Arabidopsis thaliana: one gene and its partners. The protein of the gene in region 1 interacts with the protein of each later gene in a pairwise test. Each region holds a gene or a part of one and is shown in the gene's direction. Other genes may lie near its edges.

Region 1 (5,161 bases):
TGGTCTATGTGGAGACATTGTTGGTGATTAGTTGAGTGATATGATTACTAATCCTAAAATATTATTTAAATCAATTGTAGTGACGAATTGCATTATTGTGCCCCCAGTGAGTGTAACAAAATTAATACTATTTTTTATGTATAGTTATTTATCCATTGAAGTAGGATTATGCGTCATCATCAGTGTTTAGTATACATCGGCCTACGAATTTAATTAACTAATCCAGCTTTGTTGACTATCTAAGTGTATTATAAATTCTAAAACAATCGAATCAAAGAGTTTGAGGATAACTACGAGGACAACATATTTTTTACTTTAAAAAAAAAAAATGCATTTTGAGTCAGTTTTATGAGTATCATATTAGCTTGTTGATGTATTTCACCATGTCAGTTTTTAATTTATGAAGGCGAGTAATGATTGTGTAAAAACAATTTTGGGCAAACATAGGAAAAATATAAAAAACATATTAAATTTCCAAAATTAAATAAATAGTCTATTACTCTACTAGATTTCAGATGTTAAGAAAGAAAAAGCTACTGGAATAAATACGCATACCATATGATACGGTAACATTATTTTGTTTATTGTATGTTCAGTTCCTCAAGGGACACTTGAACATTATGAATAATATATTTACTGCAATAGATATAATTGTTTATGTGATATAAACGAAAGTTGACAAAAAAAGAAGACTAATTAAAGAGTAGAATTAGTGAACCAAAAAAAAGAGAAGAAAGAATCAAACATGACTTTAAAAACTCAATAATTGAGATCTGAGAAGACATTGAAGATGACCCCAAAAAGATATTGGGAGTTGCCACCTCTCATCTCCCAAAACAACGACAGATATACAAACAGCAAACAAACATTTAAATAGATCACACTATTTCTTTTTTTTGTAATGACAAAACATATATTTATATATTCTGACAACACATAGAAACATCAAAGTAAACAAATCAAATTTGAAGTTATATTGTTTCAAAATCTTATGATAGTGCATAGCTATGAATAGCATGAGGAATTGATTAGTCCATACCGGTCTGATTAAGGTATACGAGAAGGAAGGTATACATAAAGGTTAAACAAAAAAAGAGGTGAAGAAGAGAAACATGGCTAGTGAAACTCTAAACGGTTGGAAATGATGATGAAGCAATGAGTAAGAGAATGACTCTCCGCAATCAAGCAGCGTAGGAACTAGGAACAGCTTTGGTTCTCATGGCCATGCTCCAAACTTTCTTATCAACTCGAACTAGTTAAAACTACAAACAAAATAATTTAATTTAATCTTCATATGGAGAGAAAAAAAACAATCATGGAGAACAAGTGGCAAGTACCAAGTGGTTGCAATTATCATAAACATATCCTTTTTCAAACTTTAAAGCTTTTAATCGGTTAACAACTTGAACAAACAGTTATGCTGAAATTTATCATATAGTTTTCAGTACTATACGAGTACGATCATCGTATAAAGAAGAAAAAGAAAAAGGATCAAGCAACTATGCATATATTCTTTCGATCTAGTGAAAGTGCAACGCAACCTTCTCACACGTTGCAGGCTTAAAGCACTAACGTGTAAAACTATAAGCATCTTAGAAAAGAAATAAAAAGTATATGAGAATAGTGAGTTTTTTTTTTTAATAGTTACAAGTTGATGATACGGACCATGTCTTATATATAAGACGAAAAAATCATAAACTTTATAAGCTAGCGATAATGTTTTCAATAACTTAAATGCATACGTACCAAACATTTTTTCAAGATTCAGTGAACTTAATATTATTATTTTTTAAACAATTGGATCGAATACAAACACAACTGTCAACATATGTAATAGAGACAGCCAAATTTTCATTATTTATTTGGTAACGTTATCGATTATCAAAGAGTTTAATACGTGATCGATTTTAGACATATAATTAGCCCAACGGGCTTAAAATTACAAAGAGTTACAAAAGGCCCATTTAAATCCCCCGCCAAAGTTGAAAAACGACACCGTAGCGGTTGGGTTCGAACACAGAGAGTGCGTGTGTTTTGTTTTTGTTGAGGCTTTTGATGGGCTATGGAGAATTCTGTGTTTGTTTGTTGTTACAGTTTGTTTGTTTGTTTATAGCGGGAACTCTCACCCAAAGTAATTTCATCTCCGATTTTTTTTTTTTGGTTGTTGTTCGCATCTCTGTGTAATAAAAAGAGTAAAACCAAAACCCTAGAAAAAAAATCTCCATCTTTTTTTATTCCGCCATTGGAAGATCGATCACTGGTTCGTTCTTTGATCTTTTGAAACGGATTCGAGCTTTAGCCTTTATTTCTCTGAACTAGGGTTTTCTTCACCATCGTTAGATCTAATCCAACTGGTTGATGATTCCCATTTCATAAATTTTGTTTAGCTTTTGTTAAAAAATTGAAATTGGAGCTGTCAACAATTTAGGGTTTTTTAGATTGTGTCTATTGATTCATCGGTTTTAGTCAACGATGGATTTGAGACATGAACAACTAATTGATTTGATTTCGTGTAGCTAACTTTGTTAATTGGTAAATTGTGTAGAGAAGGATGAGTATGGAGATGGAGTTGTTTGTCACTCCAGAGAAGCAGAGGCAACATCCTTCAGTGAGCGTTGAGAAAACTCCAGTGAGAAGGAAATTGATTGTTGATGATGATTCTGAAATTGGGTCAGTGTTAATTATTCTTCTTACTCACAAAGTCTCTGGTTTTTTTACTTGGAGCTAAAATGTCTGTATTGAATTTGTGTTTAAAAGATCAGAGAAGAAAGGGCAATCAAGAACTTCTGGAGGCGGGCTTCGTCAATTCAGTGTTATGGGTCAGTGATATATCTCTCTTAGCTCAAACATGCCTGAAGTGAAAGTATTGTTGTTTTGCTGATTTTGATTTAACTTCACACAGTTTGTCAGAAGTTGGAAGCCAAGAAGATAACTACTTACAAGGAGGTATTACTCTCTTTGTTCCATTAAGGAATTGGTGATGTAATCAATGAGTTTTCAGTTTAAGACGCATTAGAATTGATCTTTATATGAACAAGTATTCACTTCAAGAAGCAATCCTCTAAGTTAGTTGTTGAGCATTGTCTCAAATTCTTCTTCTAATCAGGAGTCTTGCCCTTATATAGAGGCATTGTATCAGAAAATGTGAAAATCTACGTTTGAGACTGTGGCTCTTGTGATTCCAGGTTGCAGACGAAATTATTTCAGATTTTGCCACAATTAAGCAAAACGCAGAGAAGCCTTTGAATGAAAATGAGGTATAGCGAGATGGAAAGCTCATATCATCTGTCTTGAGTTATTTGGAAAAAAAAAAAGCTATAACAACATTCTCTTATGTTCAATCAGTACAATGAGAAGAACATAAGGCGGAGAGTCTACGATGCGCTCAATGTGTTCATGGCGTTGGATATTATTGCAAGGGATAAAAAGGAAATCCGGTGGAAAGGACTTCCTATTACCTGCAAAAAGGATGTGGAAGAAGTCAAGGTTTAGCTTCCAAGCTTTTCCTTTCAGTTATCTCATCTATGTAATTGCTCTCTCTCTTCGTCTTCTCTACTAATCTCTCTACCTCTATTTGCAGATGGATCGTAATAAAGTTATGAGCAGTGTGCAAAAGAAGGCTGCTTTTCTTAAAGAGTTGAGAGAAAAGGTGATCTTCTTTCTGTTTGATGGAAAATTTAAATACAAGACTCTCTTAGAATTTGAGATCTTGTTATGCATGTCAATAGATGACAAAAGTTATTGATATTGCAGGTTTTCTAGAATCCATAGATACGTCGTGTATTGAATCATTTTATGTTGTCTTAATGAAATGTTAAACCGTCTTTCTACGTTTTGCTTATAATGTTACTCAAATGTTGTTATCATCAGGTCTCAAGTCTTGAGAGTCTTATGTCGAGAAATCAAGAGATGGTTGTGAAGACTCAAGGCCCAGCAGAAGGATTTACCTTACCATTCATTCTACTTGAGGTACTTCAAAAATCTCTTTCTCGTCCGTAGTTTCTATTTCATGTTTTTCGATATCCTAATCTATTTCCATCTCTATAGACAAACCCTCACGCAGTAGTCGAAATCGAGATTTCTGAAGATATGCAACTTGTACACCTCGACTTCAATAGGTAAAAATAAACAACATTTCTTCTCAAAATCAAAATCAGTTCTGCTATCTCTTAAATCGGAATTGAAATCTTCGTAAATTTTGTTGTGAGCAGCACACCTTTCTCGGTCCATGATGATGCTTACATTTTGAAACTGATGCAAGAACAGAAGCAAGAACAGAACAGAGTATCTTCTTCTTCATCTACACATCACCAATCTCAACATAGCTCCGCTCATTCTTCATCCAGTTCTTGCATTGCTTCTGGAACCTCAGGCCCGGTTTGCTGGAACTCGGGATCCATTGATACTCGCTGACCGAGCTTCTATTCCCAAATTCTTCAAGAAGAAGAAGTAATGATCTAATTGGTATACTAAAAAATTATACATCTGGTTTAGTGTTCAATTGAGAGAGACTGTAAAATCAATTCATAGGCCAACAAATGTTTGTTTATCCAATTTTCCTTTTTATTCGAACTTGATGCGATATTTCAACGGAAACAGAAACTATTGTTTTAAACCAAAACTAACCGTGTTGAATCTATTGGCTATTTTCCTTCTGTTTGATTGGTCTAACAAATTTAGTCTCCGGTTAGGTTGGTTTACCGAAGCTAGTTAGATTCAATTTACGCGCTTAAATGGCGCGTGTGCTAGGAAAGTTCAAAATTTGCAATTCCCATGCAAAAATAATGTTTTTTGTCTGGAAAAGGAAAAAAAGAGACATCGCGGCGGTTCGAGGGAAAGAAAAGCGAAATTGGTTGGGGACACTTCGGAAGAATGTTGGACTGTTTTTCAATTGCCGTCAAAATAAATACTATATACTATTCTTTTCATCAACTTAATCTACTCATTCTCAATACATTTTAAATCAATATCATCTAATATTATTTAGTAATTAGTGTTGGCCCATTTTAGTCCAATCTATTAGTTACTTGTTTAGTTAAAGTTGAGGTATATAGACGTACTAAAATTCAAGCACAACCAATTTCTCTTCTGTATAATTAGATTTGTAGCTGATATAGTCCACAAAAGCAGTAGATATCATATCAGCCCTAATTTTCTTATA
Region 2 (5,744 bases), about 26 Mb from region 1:
TTAAGTACTTACGTCAGATTATGTAATAATTAGTACGTTCATATAGTGCCGGGAGGTTTATTAGTACCATTTTTACTCTCTCTCTTTTTCTTCAATTACACATTTACTTTAAAGTCGATTATTTGATTGGATGCTAAGTTTTAGAAAATAATGTCAAAAATTCTGGTTCTCGAGAGGCTACAAAATTTTAACTCTCCTCTCTTTTTTTTTATTACCGTATTTTCTGTAACCATCATATCTCCCACCCATAGTGACTTTTTTACATGGGACTATCAATTTTACTTACAAAAGTTACTGGTTTACAACGGCGACCATGGTTTGAATTCAGATAAAGATAAAGAAGGAAATGCAGAGAGGTGGGGACAAATTACAAGAAGGAAATGAAAAATAAGATGTGAAAGGTGGAAATGAGAAGTCGCTATTAAACTTTGTAGTAATCTCTCTCAGATTCAGGCTTCGTTTCGCTTGTTACCAATGGCTTCTTTCACATCTTTCCCTCTCGTGATTTACTTATATCTTATCTTTATATGTCTGTCTTGACTCTTGATCATGCATTCAATACAAATAACATCCAAAATATTACTTGTGTGTTTCTCTTTCTTTTCCAATAACTAACATGGAGTACTAATAATATTCAGATTTTAACATAAATAGTACTCCCTCTGTTTCATAATATAAATTATTTTGGACCAATTTTTTGTTTCACAATATAAATTGTTTTCAAGTTTCTATGTAAATTATATATTATTTTATTACTTTATGATTATATATATTAATATGCAGTATCTTTTATGATTGGTTGAACTTTTTAATAGTAAATATTCTTAATCTGCGTGCTTTTATCTAAAACAATTTATATTGTAAAACGGAGAAAGTATTAATTTGATTTGTTCTTTCTTTCGTTTTCACTTCTTTCATTTGAATAATATCCTTTGTTGTTTTGTTCAATCTTTCATTTTTGTATTATAACGAAACTCAAAAGAAGGTATTTTGACCACTAATGTTGTTGTTAAAGTTTTAAACATCCTTTTTGGATAATTTAATTTTTATTGTAAAGGCAAGAAATACATAAATATTTAATCTGCTAATCGCCTTTTTTTTCTTGCCTCGAATCCGAATTTTAACATATAAAGAAGCGAGACAGGTTCGAATTAAATAATCTCTCTTTTAAAGAGATCTTTATAGAATACATAAAAAAAAATCAAACTATTTATAGAAAAAATAAAATAAAAACGAATTTTTGCTTTCAATTTATGTACATTGGACCACAGAATCTGCAAAGCTATGTATGTATCAAGAAAGACGTGACTATAATAAATACCACGAACAATAAATAATTAGATTCTTATTACGAATCTTTTATGTATTCCCCTAAAAAAAACCATGTCATAATTAGTCTCATTAAAATACGATTGTATGTAAAAAAAATCATACCGTATGTAGAAATATGGACTTCATTCTGTAAATAAAAGAAAAATTAACGTGTCAAGATCTTTGTTAATCAGTAATTAAAATCTAAAATGACTTAACTCAATCCGCAACACATAGGACTGGGAGCGTAATCATCACGATCCGATCGGGACATATGTTTGTCTCCATCGTACGGATAGGGTATATGAGCGTGTTTTTCACGCGCATCATTCGCGTGAACTAAGAATGCTAATGAATTCGTTAATTCGTTAAAATAAAATAAAATAAATTATATTAGAAATTAAAAGAAAAGAAAGAAAGAAAAAAAAAAAAGACAAGGCGTGAGATAATAAAACCCTTTGGCTTTCTCATAGAGATTTGTCCGGTCTCTTGTTCCTCTTTCTCCTTTCTTCACTGTAGAATCCGTCGACCAAACAACTAGCTCCAATGGCATAATGAGCATTGTAGTTTGCAATTTCTTCTTCCGTGAAGAAGAAGAAGATGGCTTTGGAGAAAGAGGAAGAAGCGTCACAAAACGGTGCGTTTTGTGTCCTTGATGGGCTCTATTGCGAGGAAGAAACCGGGTTTGTGGAGGACGATCTTGATGACGATGGAGATTTAGATTTTCTCGAGAAATCTGATGAGAGTGTTGTAAAGTTTCAGTTTTTACCTCTTTTGGATATGTTCTTATGGGATGACGATGAGATTCTGAGTTTGATTTCAAAGGAAAACGAAACGAATCCATGTTTTGGGGAACAAATCTTAGATGGCTTTTTGGTTTCTTGTAGGAAAGAGGCTTTAGATTGGGTTCTTAGGGTTAAATCTCATTATGGGTTTACTTCATTGACGGCTATACTTGCTGTGAACTACTTCGATAGGTTTATGACAAGTATAAAGCTTCAGACTGATAAGCCATGGATGTCTCAGCTTGTTGCTGTGGCTTCTTTGTCTTTAGCTGCTAAAGTTGAAGAGATTCAAGTTCCATTGCTCTTAGACCTCCAAGTTAGTTTCTTTTCTCTCTCTCCTTCTTATAATGTTTGCTGAAATGCTGAGTTCTAATGGAGTTGTTTTGTTGTGTATTTGTGGTTTAAGGTGGAAGAAGCAAGATATCTCTTTGAAGCTAAGACGATTCAAAGAATGGAGCTTTTGATTCTTTCTACTCTTCAATGGAGAATGCACCCTGTGACTCCAATCTCTTTCTTTGATCACATTATCCGGCGATTTGGCTCTAAATGGCACCAGCAATTAGACTTCTGTAGGAAGTGTGAGCGTCTTCTGATCTCTGTTATTGCTGGTGAGGTTTCCCATTTTAAAACCTTTACGATGTTTTTGTTTGGATTCTTGTTGCTTAAATTCTGAGTCTTGGTCGCAGATACGAGGTTTATGAGGTACTTCCCTTCTGTCTTAGCTACTGCAATAATGATCCTTGTCTTCGAGGAATTGAAGCCATGTGATGAAGTTGAATACCAATCTCAAATAACGACTCTACTCAAAGTCAATCAGGTCTGTTGCTTAAAAAGGCTTTGTAAATTAGTCCAGTTATAATGTTAAAGATGAGAATCTGATTCAGCATTGACTTCACAGGAGAAAGTAAATGAATGCTATGAACTGTTGTTGGAGCACAATCCAAGCAAGAAGAGGATGATGAATTTGGTTGATCAGGACAGTCCAAGTGGTGTATTAGACTTTGATGACAGCTCAAATAGCTCCTGGAATGTCTCCACTACTGCTTCAGTGTCCTCATCATCTTCGTCTCCAGAGCCTCTGCTCAAGAGAAGAAGAGTTCAGGAGCAGCAAATGAGATTGCCCTCAATAAACCGTATGTTTCTCGATGTGCTTAGTAGTCCTCGCTAGTACCTTTCTTTGATCAAATGTGTCAAAACATAAATTCAATCTCTCTTTTGCTTATTATTATCGGCCATCGGCTACAATTTGAAGGCAGAACATTTTGTGATAACTCTAAGTTAATTCTGCCTCTTAAATCATAATATTCATTGATCAATCAGTATTGTGTTCAAGTAGAATGTTGAATAGAGAATTCAAAAGTCAAAAAGTAAGGAGTAGTACATCGTCCTTGAAATCTCAACAAACACTAGCAATATAGGGCTTTAGACTAAGTAAGAATTGACTGATATATGAGCATCAGTAACAGTAAAAAGTAAAAAGTATCTCTCTCTTTCTTTCTATCTATCACTCTCTCTCTCTCGTGATATGTCAATTGTTTGATATGGAAATCTCTTGGACGTCTTTTAATTTTGTGGAGATAAGATTGGAAAAAGAAGAGTGGTTGATATAAATGATAAACCTGAAACATCTGATTTCTTCTGTTGGGTTAGTAAAACATGTGAAAGAAAACCTCAGTTGTACCTTTTGAGCAGACCTAGGCAGAAACAAGAAGAGTGGTTGGTTTTTTCCATAGATTAATTTCTTTTGTAAAAAATAATCTCTTTAAATTTTGGGGTAATTTTCAATTTTGATTTGAAAGGAAAGGATTTTGAGACCAGACAAAGGGTGGTTCAAGTACTCGTCTTGTTTTTATCCTTGAAGATGAAAAAAATCTGGTGGACATATATGTATGTAAGTATGTAACACCTTCCTCCTATGACTTGAATTTACTGTCCCATGTCTTGTCAAAGACAAAGACAATAAATATGTTATTAGCTTTTAAGCACCATCTGTGAATAACCCATTGGACATTTATCAGAATTTCAGACACACATATATATAGATTCTGACATATATATGAATTAATGTGTTGGTTTTATTGGAATATGAGATTTTAAGTAGCTTTCTTGGGGTTTTTAATATTACTTGAGATATTAGTGAGTAAACCAATCAAGACCTCCCTAATAATCTTTGATGATTTAGTCCTTACTCATTCAAATGGTAATTGTTTTTGTATTTTTTTTTGGTAAAATGGTTTTACTTTAGCTATCGAAATTGATGATATTGCTGAAAATAGCGTCTTCAACGGTCGGATATGTTTTTTTAGCAGAACAAAAAGAAAAAGCCTGTCATTTTTTTTTCCATCATAAAAAAAGAAAATAAAAAAGCCTGTCAATTATAGAAAAAAAGCTTTATAATTTTTTGTTTTAAAGTAGTATACGTACGTCGGTCTTTCCCACCAACATCCCACACGGTAAAGCTCACGTTTTTGTACTCCACGGTCTTTATACGTTACTTATATCCTTGTTACATATTTAAACAAATTCAGCACACACAAATAGTTGGGAAAAATAATGAGACACAGAATAAAATAAGACATGAAATAAATTAACCAACGAAAAAAAAGAAGAAGAGAAACTTCCGATGGTTACTTATTGGTGGTGATGAACAAAAATACTTCTTTTTTTTCATGCAAAGAAAACTAAAAAAGGAATAAGGTTCTGCCTTTAATGAGTTATCTGATAAGAAATAAAGATTTGGAAAAAGCTTCATTCATCTTTATTCTGAACAGTGTTATAAGCTCACATTTTTACTTTTTGAGGAAAAAGAAAATCATATAAACCTTTTTATTTCATGATATTTGTAACCAAGAAAAAAATGTTATAGATTAAAAATAGGTGAAGCTAATAAGATTACGGGTCTCATTATGGGAATACAAAGAGGATTTTTTACAGTGGTAAAGAAAGTACTAGAAAATAGAAAACCGATTATTTATTTAGAGATGACTTCTTTGGCAGATTGAAGGGTGGATTCAACGGCAGCAGCAGCTCCGACTAGAACGTCGCCGCTAGTTTTGGGATGAGATTGATGAACCACTTGTACATTTCTTTGCTCTGTGCCTTTCCCCGCCGAGGAACGTTGCTCCGTTGTTTCCACCACCACTTTTGATGATGATCCATCCTCTTTTCTTTTTTCAGTCTCCATTTCCTTACAAGTAAAATCAAATTACAAATATTACAATTTAATTAATCCGTTTCAAATTTATATTACAATTGAATGATTTATCATATTACTAAACGAAAAATACAAAGAAGTAAAAGAAGATGAATTCATCATACCTTCGTGGATTTTAGGTTCATAGCTATATTGTAATAGAATTTTTTAACTGGAGTTTAGGAAAAAGTAACAGAAATTAAATTTATAAAAGAAATTTTCTAAAAGAGCAGAAAATCGTAATTTTTGGGTATACGAACGTCCGGTTCTTGCGTTTGTCTTTCTGTTCCTCTCAAAATATCAATAGGCCAGCCTAAGTGTTAGGACAAACTTATGTTTAATTATTCAGCACTGCTACTAATCAAATAAGATGTGAAACTGTAGGGGCAAAACATATTATACCATAAGGACCACAAAACATCACAACAATGATATTTTCAACAGAGTACTAGTAG
Region 3 (5,550 bases), on another chromosome or scaffold:
TAAGACATTAACAAAAATGACGAACCCTACCACGAGAATGTAGTCAGTCTGATAAATTGTTGTAGGTTGGGAGGTGCATATTTTCCCTCCTTTCAAATTTCAGTTTCTTGACTTCATTAATGTTAATATAAATAAACATATACTGCATGATAAAAATGTTAATTTAACTGTAAATGTGAATGCAAATCTGAATGTAAGCCATATGTTTTAAATATTGTCTACCTAAACAGAGAAATGAATTAGTAGCCCAACCTAGCCATAACAAATAAATAATGAAGAAGGTCTTCTTCCGCCGAAGATACCAAAAATATATTATCTTCTATTTCAAAAAGTATCCCATTTGTTTCTAATTTCTATGGTACAATGTAGTTGTTGAATTGTAATTTTCTCAATGTTAATTTCGTTATCTACGTAAGCATTGTCAACTATTTACATAGTACATACAAGTGATAGTTATATATTAGCTCTTCCATAATTTTTAATTCTTATCAATATGAAAATATTGACAAATTTATACAAATCTGCATAGAAAACACATACAAAACAAATATGAAACAATGTTAAAAAAAAAAAAAAATATGAAACATTTTTTCTAATACACCTGAAAACTAAAATAAGGGGTAAATATATTAGAGGTAAGCGAAAAATCTACTACAATCTAAACCGAGATCATCCCAATGGTATAATTAAAGTCTAAAATCTAAATCGAAGGAGCAAAGTATTTTGTAAGGCACACGTGAAAGAAAGTAACTACGGGAGTGATTAATAAAAACGGGCCAATGATTTAACACTTTTATGGCATAATTAAACCAAGAAGGGACCAAATAAATATGACATATTGATACAAAAAGGAATGTGAAGAAAATCTCCGGTTCTACGAAAAGGACTTCCACTACTCTTTCCCACACGCTCCAGACCACTGTTTGCTTTCCTCTGATTAACCAATCTCAATTAAACTACTAATTTATAATTCAAGATAATTAGATAACCAATCTTAAAATTTGGAATCTTCTTCCCTCACTTGATATTACAAAAAAAAAACTGATTTATCATACGGTTAATTCAAGAAAACAGCAAAAAAATTGCACTATAATGCAAAACATCAATTAATTACATTCGATTAAAAAATCATCATTGAATCTAAAATGGCCTCAAATCTATTGAGCATTTGTCATGTGCCTAAAATGGTTCAGGAGTTTTACATCTAATCACATAAAAAGCAAACAATAACCAAAAAAATTGCATTTTAGCAAATCAAATACTTATATATATACGTATGATTAAGCGTCATGACTTTAAAACCTCTGTAAAATTTTGATTTATTTTTCGATGCTTTTATTTTTTAACCAATAGTAATAAAGTCCAAATCTTAAATACGAAAAAATGTTTCTTTCTAAGCGACCAACAAAATGGTCCAAATCACAGAAAATGTTCCATAATCCAGGCCCATTAAGCTAATCACCAAGTAATACATTACACGTCACCAATTAATACATTACACGTACGGCCTTCTCTCTTCACGAGTAATATGCAAACAAACGTACATTAGCTGTAATGTACTCACTCATGCAACGTCTTAACCTGCCACGTATTACGTAATTACACCACTCCTTGTTCCTAACCTACGCATTTCACTTTAGCGCATGTTAGTCAAAAAACACAAACATAAACTACAAATAAAAAAACTCAAAACAAAACCCAATGAACGAACGGACCAGCCCCGTCTCGATTGATGGAACAGTGACAACAGTCCCGTTTTCTCGGGCATAACGGAAACGGTAACCGTCTCTCTGTTTCATTTGCAACAACACCATTTTTATAAATAAAAACACATTTAAATAAAAAATTATTAAAACCTCAAAAAATCTCTGTTTCTTGTTTATATATCCAAACAAATGAATGTGTTAAACCTTCACTCTTCTCTCCACACAAAATTCAAAAACCTCACATTTCACTTCTCTCTTCTCGCTTCTTCTAGATCTCACCGGTTTATCTAGCTCCGGTTTGATTCATCTCCGGTTATGGGGAGAGAATGAGGAGTTACCGTTTTAGTGATTATCTACACATGTCTGTTTCATTCTCTAACGATATGGATTTGTTTTGTGGAGAAGACTCCGGTGTGTTTTCCGGTGAGTCAACGGTTGATTTCTCGTCTTCCGAGGTTGATTCATGGCCTGGTGATTCTATCGCTTGTTTTATCGAAGACGAGCGTCACTTCGTTCCTGGACATGATTATCTCTCTAGATTTCAAACTCGATCTCTCGATGCTTCCGCTAGAGAAGATTCCGTCGCATGGATTCTCAAGGCGAGCCTATTCACTTTTTTTCTCTACCTCTCATTTTTTTCAATGCTAAAATACGCCGCCGGAGAGTGTGTAGACGCTAAAATACGCTGATCGAATCGTTACATGCAGAGAATCTTTTTTTTTACAGTAGTGTGGTATTGTTTGGTTTACAGGTACAAGCGTATTATAACTTTCAGCCTTTAACGGCGTACCTCGCCGTTAACTATATGGATCGGTTTCTTTACGCTCGTCGATTACCGGTAAATGTTTTAAAAACGTCAACGTTAGTTAATTCTATTGTCTCTGTTTTTTTATTATATTGATATGACAAATAACAACCCCAAAAAGTCAGTTTTATTTCCCTTTTTTTTTTTCAATGGATCGATTTGTTTATTGACTTTTCTTCAGAAAAAAATGAAAACGACTAAAAATTTATTAGAGCAAAAAATTATAATCGGTATAGAATAATTTAGTAGAAATTAATCTTATATTGGAATGTACGTAAACGATAGAACAGGAGCGGGCTGGGGAACTTTTTTTCGTTTTTTAATTATTTTATTGAAATTTATATTTTCGATAAAAAATTACATTGACGTTTACATAATAATAGTATACTTTTGCAGTAAACTTTCCACTTCATATATCGGCTTTATTGAAAACTTTGTAATCATAGTGTTAAAACGCTCCTACTACTATATAATATTTTAAATTAATTTTGTAATTAAACTTAATAGAGTATATAGTAATCAATGATTATATTAATCAGCTTTAATTTCTGTAAAATAGGAAACGAGTGGTTGGCCAATGCAACTTTTAGCAGTGGCATGCTTGTCTTTAGCTGCAAAGATGGAGGAAATTCTCGTTCCTTCTCTTTTTGATTTTCAGGTAAACATATATTATCATTCTTTCTTTAACATTCTGAATTTACTCTGTTTTTTTAAGAAACTTTAATTTATGTATCTCTGTATAATGTAATGTAGGTTGCAGGAGTGAAGTATTTATTTGAAGCAAAAACTATAAAAAGAATGGAACTTCTTGTTCTAAGTGTGTTAGATTGGAGACTAAGATCGGTTACACCGTTTGATTTCATTAGCTTCTTTGCTTACAAGATCGATCCTTCGGGTACCTTTCTCGGGTTCTTTATCTCCCATGCTACAGAGATTATACTCTCCAACATAAAAGGTACGTAATATTTGTATGATATATGATCCATAATGTCATTTAGGTAGCACATTTTTGGGTTGGTTCTAACACATGACCAATTAGTACAGAAGCGAGCTTTCTTGAGTACTGGCCATCGAGTATAGCTGCAGCCGCGATTCTCTGTGTAGCGAACGAGTTACCTTCTCTATCCTCTGTTGTCAATCCCCACGAGAGCCCTGAGACTTGGTGTGACGGATTGAGCAAAGTAGGATTTGTTATATCACGTTTAGATGGAACAAGGGAGTAACAGATTGCTAATTAATGTCTTTTGGTTATATTTGACTTTCAGGAGAAGATAGTGAGATGCTATAGACTGATGAAAGCGATGGCCATCGAGAATAACCGGTTAAATACACCAAAAGTGATAGCAAAGCTTCGAGTGAGTGTAAGGGCATCATCGACGTTAACAAGGCCAAGTGATGAATCCTCTTTCTCATCCTCTTCTCCTTGTAAAAGGAGAAAATTAAGTGGCTATTCATGGGTAGGTGATGAAACATCTACCTCTAATTAAAATTTGGGGAGTGAAAGTAGAGGACCAAGGAAACAAAACCTAGAAGAAAAAAAACCCTCTTCTGTTTAAGTAGAGTATATTTTTTAACAAGTACATAGTAATAAGGGAGTGATGAAGAAAAGTAAAAGTGTTTATTGGCTGAGTTAAAGTAATTAAGAGTTTTCCAACCAAGGGGAAGGAATAAGAGTTTTGGTTACAATTTCTTTTATGGAAAGGGTAAAAATTGGGTTTTGGGGTTGGTTGGTTGGTTGGGAGAGACGAAGCTCATCATTAATGGCTTTGCAGATTCCCAAGAAAGCAAAATGAGTAAGTGAGTGTAACACACACGTGTTAGAGAAAAGATATGATCATGTGAGTGTGTGTGTGTGAGAGAGAGAGAGAAGAGTATTTGCATTAGAGTCCTCATCACACAGGTACTGATGGATAAGACAGGGGAGCGTTTGCAAAAGATTTGTGAGTGGAGATTTTTCTGAGCTCTTTGTCTTAATGGATCGCAGCAGTTCATGGGACCCTTCCTCAGCTTCATCATCAAACAAAAAAAAAATCAAGTTGCGAAGTATATATAATTTGTTTTTTTGTTTGGATTTTTAAGATTTTTGATTCCTTGTGTGTGACTTCACGTGACGGAGGCGTGTGTCTCACGTGTTTGTTTTCTCTTCAAATCTTTTATTTTGGCGGGAAATTTTGTGTTTTTGATTTCTACGTATTCGTGGACTCCAAATGAGTTTTGTCACGGTGCGTTTTAGTAGCGTTTGCATGCGTGTAAGGTGTCACGTATGTGTATATATATGATTTTTTTTTGGTTTCTTGAAAGGTTGAATTTTATAAATAAAACGTTTCTATTATATGAAGGAAAAAGTACATTGAACTCAATAATGGTCGTGGAGAAGGTTAATAGCTACGTGAGAGGATAATATGAGTAGTGGTGAGATTTGATTTTGGTGTGGCCTGTGGGAGCACGAAGCATGTGAACATGTGTGTTGTGGATCGAGTGTATGTTTTATTGAACGACGAACGTAAAAAGACAAAAGAAAATTGTATTTGTTTAAGACCAAAAGAAAAAAAAAAGTATTTAATGTTCAAAATGTAATAACCTTCCTCATTTTTGCCATAATTAAACACATTTCTTTGTTTTTGTTTTTTTGGGCAAAAGATTAAGGGTTTTATATACCTATTTTAACAACAGTAAATATACAAAAGAAAATCAAATTATGAAAAAAACAAATTACAAAAGAAGTAAAAAATAGTGGTTAATTTCTCTCTTGATTTTAGTAAAGAGGAACAATTAATAGGAGCAGTAGCATACATGTGATGTTGATCTGTCTCCATGTCAGAGAAAGTGGTCTCACCACGAAACCATAACGTAGCTACACCGTTCTATCTCTCTCGAACCCCTCAAACATTAGCCACACAAAAATACCATCTTTGACTATCCATTTATATATGTATGCACACGATTTTACAAGTAAAAAAGGAAATAAGAAGTGAAAGAAAAAGAAAAAAACTTACTGCAAAACAAAACATTTTACAAAAGTGTGTTTTAATCTTATAA
Region 4 (5,127 bases), 7.9 Mb from region 1:
TAGGATCATGAGGAAATACATAATTTTCTAAATAAAATAAAAATAAAAAGAGAGATTTCCACATATTCAAGTTTTAATATTTTTTCTTTGTTTTTCAAATAAATTAAAACTAAACTAAAATCCACATCTAATTACCATTCAAATTTTTCAAACAACTAACATTTACACCAAAAAAAAAAATTACAAACTAAAATTCGAAAGCCAAAAACTATTTTAAAAGCTACATACATTTATGATTTTAAACAACGGAAAATAAAATATTTCCAGAAACTGAACTTTGAGATAGAAAGTAAACGTCTTTAGTAACTAAGTGATTGGTTGGCATGTCACCGTAAATTATTCGCTGTAAAATTTTGACCGTCAGCGTGTAAAATGCAACCGTGTATTTTATTGTTATACGTGTAGATATTAGGGATATAAAGTCTTAGAAGTAAATTTATTAGTCGTATCTTAAAATATGATTAGTAAATATTTTATAAAATATTATAGTTAACCAAACTATATAATAAACAACAACACAAATTTTGTGATGCACATATAGGTTAAATGGAATCTATATAAACATGTAAAATAGTTTATATGTTAGTCGGATAATAACTACATATTAGTTGAAAAGAATATATACATATAAATTTTTTGTTCAAATGTTGTTCAAAATTTATACATAAGTATACATTAACAAACAAAACTATACATGGTATTTATACTATTAGTATATATCCATCTAGTGCCTAGTGTACATTATATAAGCAACACATAAAAAATGATCATGAGGAAATAAAATTAAAATAAAAGAGAGATTAAATTAAAAATATAACTTATAGAACTTATAACAACATATGGTTTTAGGTTGTAGAAATATAAGATTTACGGTCACAAGATTTTTTTTTTTTCTAAAACTAATTCACAACAATTTGGTCTTCACAAAAACAATTATGGTTGTAAAAGATTACATTCCAACTAATCAAACACTATAAGAGACTATCCTCAAACTAGAAACGCAGAGGTCTAAACCCAAAAACAAAACAAAAAGCAATGACTTAGATAAACTTTGTTGGATATGGGCTTCGCCCCATTTAACATTCGGAGGCCCAAACAAAGAGTCATTGAAAACCTCAGTTAAGAATGATGAAGACCAGCCCCCCTGAGAAAGCCGCAGCCCATTGCGAGATGAGGCCCATTTTCTGGAAAGGATCAGCCGCCATAGAAGTTTCATATCGCTCAGAAAATGGTACTGTGTACTTTCATTGAAGTACTATAAATATTGACAGAGGAATGCCAGAAAAGGACACCTGAAGTCGGACGAGAATAGTACAAGAACATTCTCATTCGGATTCAAAGACATAAGCTCGACAATTGACTTGTGTAGTTTTATTCTTGTTGTATCTCTTAAAACGAGGCTTGGCTGTAAACATATCTTGTAAACGGCCGAACGTTAAGTTTAGATAAATAAGATCTTCCTTTTCGCTCGCTACTTTCTTCTCTGTTTTTGAGGTTTAGTTTTGAGTACCAACGGACTTCGATATCAAACGTTTTAAAGTTTAAACCTATTTGATTTACATTATTTGGTTTAAATAAATTGATTCAGACTTCACACGACCAAGAAAAAAAAATGGTTGAATTGGGTTCTCATCTATTGGGCTTTAACAACAAACACTATTAGTAAGATGGGCTGGCCAGTTGTGTAAACTGTTTCATATTGGTAAATCAATATGATACCAATTAAGTTTATTTAATTCTTCTTTAACTTCCGTACAACTATCACGAAGCTTCCTTTATAGCATCAACGTGTCAATATATGATTCGCTAGGTGACATCTCTCGTTCAGACATCCTCACCTTTTGACTCATATAACCCCTATTTCCGTAACTATTTTACTGCAATACTTCAGGGGTAAAATAGGTATTTACATTCTGTTTTGCCTTTTACGCGTAACGAACGTGGTTTTGTGTTTTATGACTTTCTGGGAAACAGTGGTACGCCTATCCACGCGCCACTTTTTCATCTCTTTGTCTTTGATATCTCTCTTGTCTGACCAAATCGTGTCACATCTCCTTCTTCTCCACTTTACCAAATCGTGTCAAATTTTAGGGTTTTTTCTTTTCGTACTTCATCAAATTCTGGAATCTGGTTTTTTCTTAGTTTTCTTCTATATACCTTTGAATCGCATCTTTGATCCAAATTCATTTTAGATATCACCTTGAAGTCGAATTTGTGATTTTTTCTTTTCCTCTCGAATTCTCAAAGTCTCACGCAACTATGAAAGAAGACATGGAAGTACTATCGCTCGCTTCACTACCGGTTGGGTTCAGATTTAGTCCAACGGACGAAGAGTTAGTCCGGTACTATCTCCGGCTCAAGATCAACGGTCACGATAACGACGTTAGAGTAATTCGTGAGATCGATATCTGCAAATGGGAGCCTTGGGATTTGCCTGGTAATTCCTTTCTTCATCAAATCAATTCGTTGATTCATCTTTAGCTCTTTAGTCTCGGTTTAGCAATTCCCAGGCTTCAATTCCGGTTTATGCATGTTTGAATTTGGAACAATATGATCAATAACTTCTTAGCTTAGGTAGTGGACTTAGTGAATTTGAGTAAAGATTTATACTTTAGTATTTGTGGTGTAGATTTTTCTGTGGTGAAGACAACAGACTCAGAGTGGCTCTTCTTTTGTCCTTTGGACCGGAAATATCCGAGTGGAAGTCGAATGAATAGAGCTACTGTGGCTGGATACTGGAAGGCGACGGGAAAAGACCGTAAGATCAAATCAGGAAAGACTAAGATTATAGGTGTTAAGAGGACTCTAGTGTTTTATACAGGTCGTGCTCCTAAAGGGACACGAACTTGTTGGATTATGCATGAGTATCGTGCTACTGAGAAGGATCTTGATGGAACAAAGTCTGGCCAGGTAAAAACCAACTTGGCAAATGATGGCATTAACTTGTGTGTGTAGGTCTTTTGTGTTTCTGATTGTGTTTGTTTGATTGTTTTTGGTTGCAGAATCCGTTTGTTGTTTGTAAGTTGTTTAAGAAGCAAGATATTGTGAACGGAGCTGCTGAACCAGAAGAGTCAAAGTCATGTGAAGTTGAACCAGCGGTATCGTCTCCAACTGTTGTGGACGAGGTTGAAATGTCTGAGGTATCTCCTGTTTTCCCTAAAACAGAAGAGACTAATCCTTGTGACGTCGCAGAGTCTTCTCTTGTAATCCCCAGCGAATGTCGTAGTGGATACTCTGTCCCTGAGGTTACAACCACCGGGGTAAGGATGAACAAAATACATTCTTTTCATTACAGGAGGCGGTACAACCGCTTTGTAAACTTACAAACTTCATTTTACTCAACAGCTTGACGATATCGATTGGCTCTCGTTTATGGAGTTTGATTCCCCGAAGCTGTTCTCTCCGTTGCACTCTCAGGTGCAATCTGAGCTCGGTTCCTCTTTCAATGGCTTACAATCTGAGTCTAGTGAATTGTTCAAAAACCACAATGAGGATTACATTCAGACTCAGTACGGTACAAATGATGCGGATGAATATATGTCCAAGTTCTTGGATTCTTTTCTTGACATTCCCTATGAGCCAGAACAGATCCCATATGAGCCACAGAATCTTAGCTCATGCAACAAGATCAATGATGAATCTAAGAGAGGAATTAAGATTAGAGCTCGACGAGCACAAGCCCCGGGTTGTGCTGAGCAGTTTGTAATGCAGGGCGATGCCTCAAGAAGGCTGCGTCTTCAGGTTAACCTTAACAGCCACAAGTCAGAAACTGACAGTACACAACTTCAATTTATCAAGAAAGAGGTGAGAAGAAGTTTGTTTTCATACCTTCTCATGTATTACAATTTATGATCCTTATATTTATGCGATAAAATGTATATAGGTTAAGGACACAACAACGGAAACTATGACGAAAGGATGTGGAAATTTCACAAGATCAAAGAGCAGGACTAGTTTCATATTCAAGAAAATTGCAGCCATGGGATGTTCATACAGAGGGCTTTTCAGAGTCGGTGTGGTAGCGGTTGTGTGTGTGATGTCGGTCTGCAGTCTAGTCGCATAAATCCGCTGAATGTGATGTTTGTTCCGATCAATTCATATAGTAAGAATAAAGAAAGTGGTTTTTACGGGTGGAGAGAGCGCGGATTTGTGTGTATAACAGGGGTTTTGGCCTGGTTCTGCATCTGTTGTTATTGTTGTTGTTTTTGTCGGCTTAAGCTTAACCATGGTCGGTTTAGGAGTGTAGTAGACTTGTAGTTAACATGTACGACGACTCATAATATTCAGATGGTAATGTTTGGAAATTTTTTTATTCCTGACCACATGTGTCTTGAGATTGCGTTTTTGACATTTTTAGTAGCCTTGTACAATCAGAAACAAACTACGAGTTCGAATGGTAGCACCGTAATGAAAACGGTGTCAAACATGTTAGTACGAACCGACCGGGTAGAGATATTTATTAGAGGTGTGTTTATTTCGTATATCATTAAACATGTTTAGTATGATAGGACGGTTTGATTGAGGGTATGGACTGTTAAACATGTCATTTGGGTATTTTATGGCATTAAGTATGCCCAGTAATATATTACAAAATTTTTGGACAAAAGAATGCATATTTGAATAGTTCAAATAATATGATCACCTCTCTTTTCTCTCCTTCATATCTTTTAGAGAGAGGAACTGTTGAATTCTGCCGACCGGATTATTCTGGTAAACTGCCGTCCCAAGTTTTGGGCTTTTGCCCGACATCTTTTTGGCTTTGTTAGCAAAGATGGCCGGTCCTCTTCTGGCAAATCCGGCTTCTACAAGAATAATTGTATCCTTACTACTTAATTGTATGGACCAAGAATAAAATTTCAAAATTTAGTTGTTTTCTTGATATCTGTAAAAAAAATTAAACAACACTTACAATAAGACATAGGAAGCAGTTTGTATCAATATTACTGTCGTGTTGCTTTGGAATAAAACCCAAAATACGTAAGTACCAAAACAATTATTAGACTTTTTAAATGTGTTAGCTGATATAAGTAGTATATATCAATGTTGTATCATACTTTGAATAAAACTCAAAATTATGTGTGAGTAAGAAAAGAAAATACAATTCTTTCCAATATATAAAAACATCGT

The links.
Region 2: the proteins of DPA (region 1) and CYCD3;2 interact in a two-hybrid assay, tested with the Arabidopsis thaliana proteins (one large-scale study listed by BioGRID).
Region 3: the proteins of DPA (region 1) and CYCD1;1 interact in a two-hybrid assay, tested with the Arabidopsis thaliana proteins (one large-scale study listed by BioGRID).
Region 4: the proteins of DPA (region 1) and TIP interact in a two-hybrid assay, tested with the Arabidopsis thaliana proteins (one large-scale study listed by BioGRID).

What each region holds. Positions count from the first base shown.
Region 1 is NC_003076.8:541,814-546,974, reverse strand, and holds DPA (Transcription factor DP), read left to right. Parts: upstream 1-2,019; 5' UTR 2,020-2,260; exon of another isoform or gene 2,261-2,545; 5' UTR 2,546-2,551; coding exon 2,552-2,670; intron 2,671-2,757; coding exon 2,758-2,819; intron 2,820-2,902; coding exon 2,903-2,946; intron 2,947-3,185; coding exon 3,186-3,257; intron 3,258-3,345; coding exon 3,346-3,486; intron 3,487-3,580; coding exon 3,581-3,649; intron 3,650-3,870; coding exon 3,871-3,969; intron 3,970-4,047; coding exon 4,048-4,118; intron 4,119-4,211; coding exon 4,212-4,413; 3' UTR 4,414-4,657; downstream 4,658-5,161. UniProt on the Arabidopsis thaliana protein: Involved in the regulation of the G1/S transition. Increases the DNA binding and the transactivation activities of E2F proteins after heterodimerization. The complex DPA/E2FA promotes cell division and acts as a regulator of the endocycle.
Region 2 is NC_003076.8:26,834,402-26,840,145, forward strand, and holds CYCD3;2 (CYCLIN D3;2), read left to right. Parts: upstream 1-1,738; 5' UTR 1,739-1,911; coding exon 1,912-2,412; intron 2,413-2,502; coding exon 2,503-2,704; intron 2,705-2,782; coding exon 2,783-2,913; intron 2,914-2,994; coding exon 2,995-3,229; coding exon of another isoform or gene 3,230-3,264; exon of another isoform or gene 3,265-3,473; intron 3,474-3,895; coding exon 3,896-3,987; intron 3,988-4,976; exon of another isoform or gene 4,977-5,067; coding exon of another isoform or gene 5,068-5,093; coding exon 5,094-5,147; downstream 5,148-5,744. Other genes in the region: AT5G67265 (uncharacterized protein), read right to left, coding at 5,068-5,283, 5,415-5,435. UniProt on the Arabidopsis thaliana protein: Promotes divisions in the guard cells (GCs) after the guard mother cells (GMC) symmetric division when in the presence of CDKA-1.
Region 3 is NC_003070.9:26,437,983-26,443,532, forward strand, and holds CYCD1;1 (CYCLIN D1;1), read left to right. Parts: upstream 1-1,573; 5' UTR 1,574-1,670; coding exon of another isoform or gene 1,671-1,814; 5' UTR 1,815-2,032; coding exon 2,033-2,305; intron 2,306-2,457; coding exon 2,458-2,544; intron 2,545-3,070; coding exon 3,071-3,169; intron 3,170-3,264; coding exon 3,265-3,466; intron 3,467-3,555; coding exon 3,556-3,692; intron 3,693-3,776; coding exon 3,777-3,998; 3' UTR 3,999-5,025; downstream 5,026-5,550. Other genes in the region: AT1G70209 (uncharacterized protein), read right to left, coding at 1,671-1,814. UniProt on the Arabidopsis thaliana protein: May activate cell cycle in the root apical meristem (RAM) and promote embryonic root (radicle) protrusion.
Region 4 is NC_003076.8:8,415,856-8,420,982, reverse strand, and holds TIP (TCV-interacting protein), read left to right. Parts: upstream 1-1,906; 5' UTR 1,907-2,259; coding exon 2,260-2,437; intron 2,438-2,629; coding exon 2,630-2,910; intron 2,911-3,002; coding exon 3,003-3,260; intron 3,261-3,345; coding exon 3,346-3,804; intron 3,805-3,883; coding exon 3,884-4,063; 3' UTR 4,064-4,608; downstream 4,609-5,127.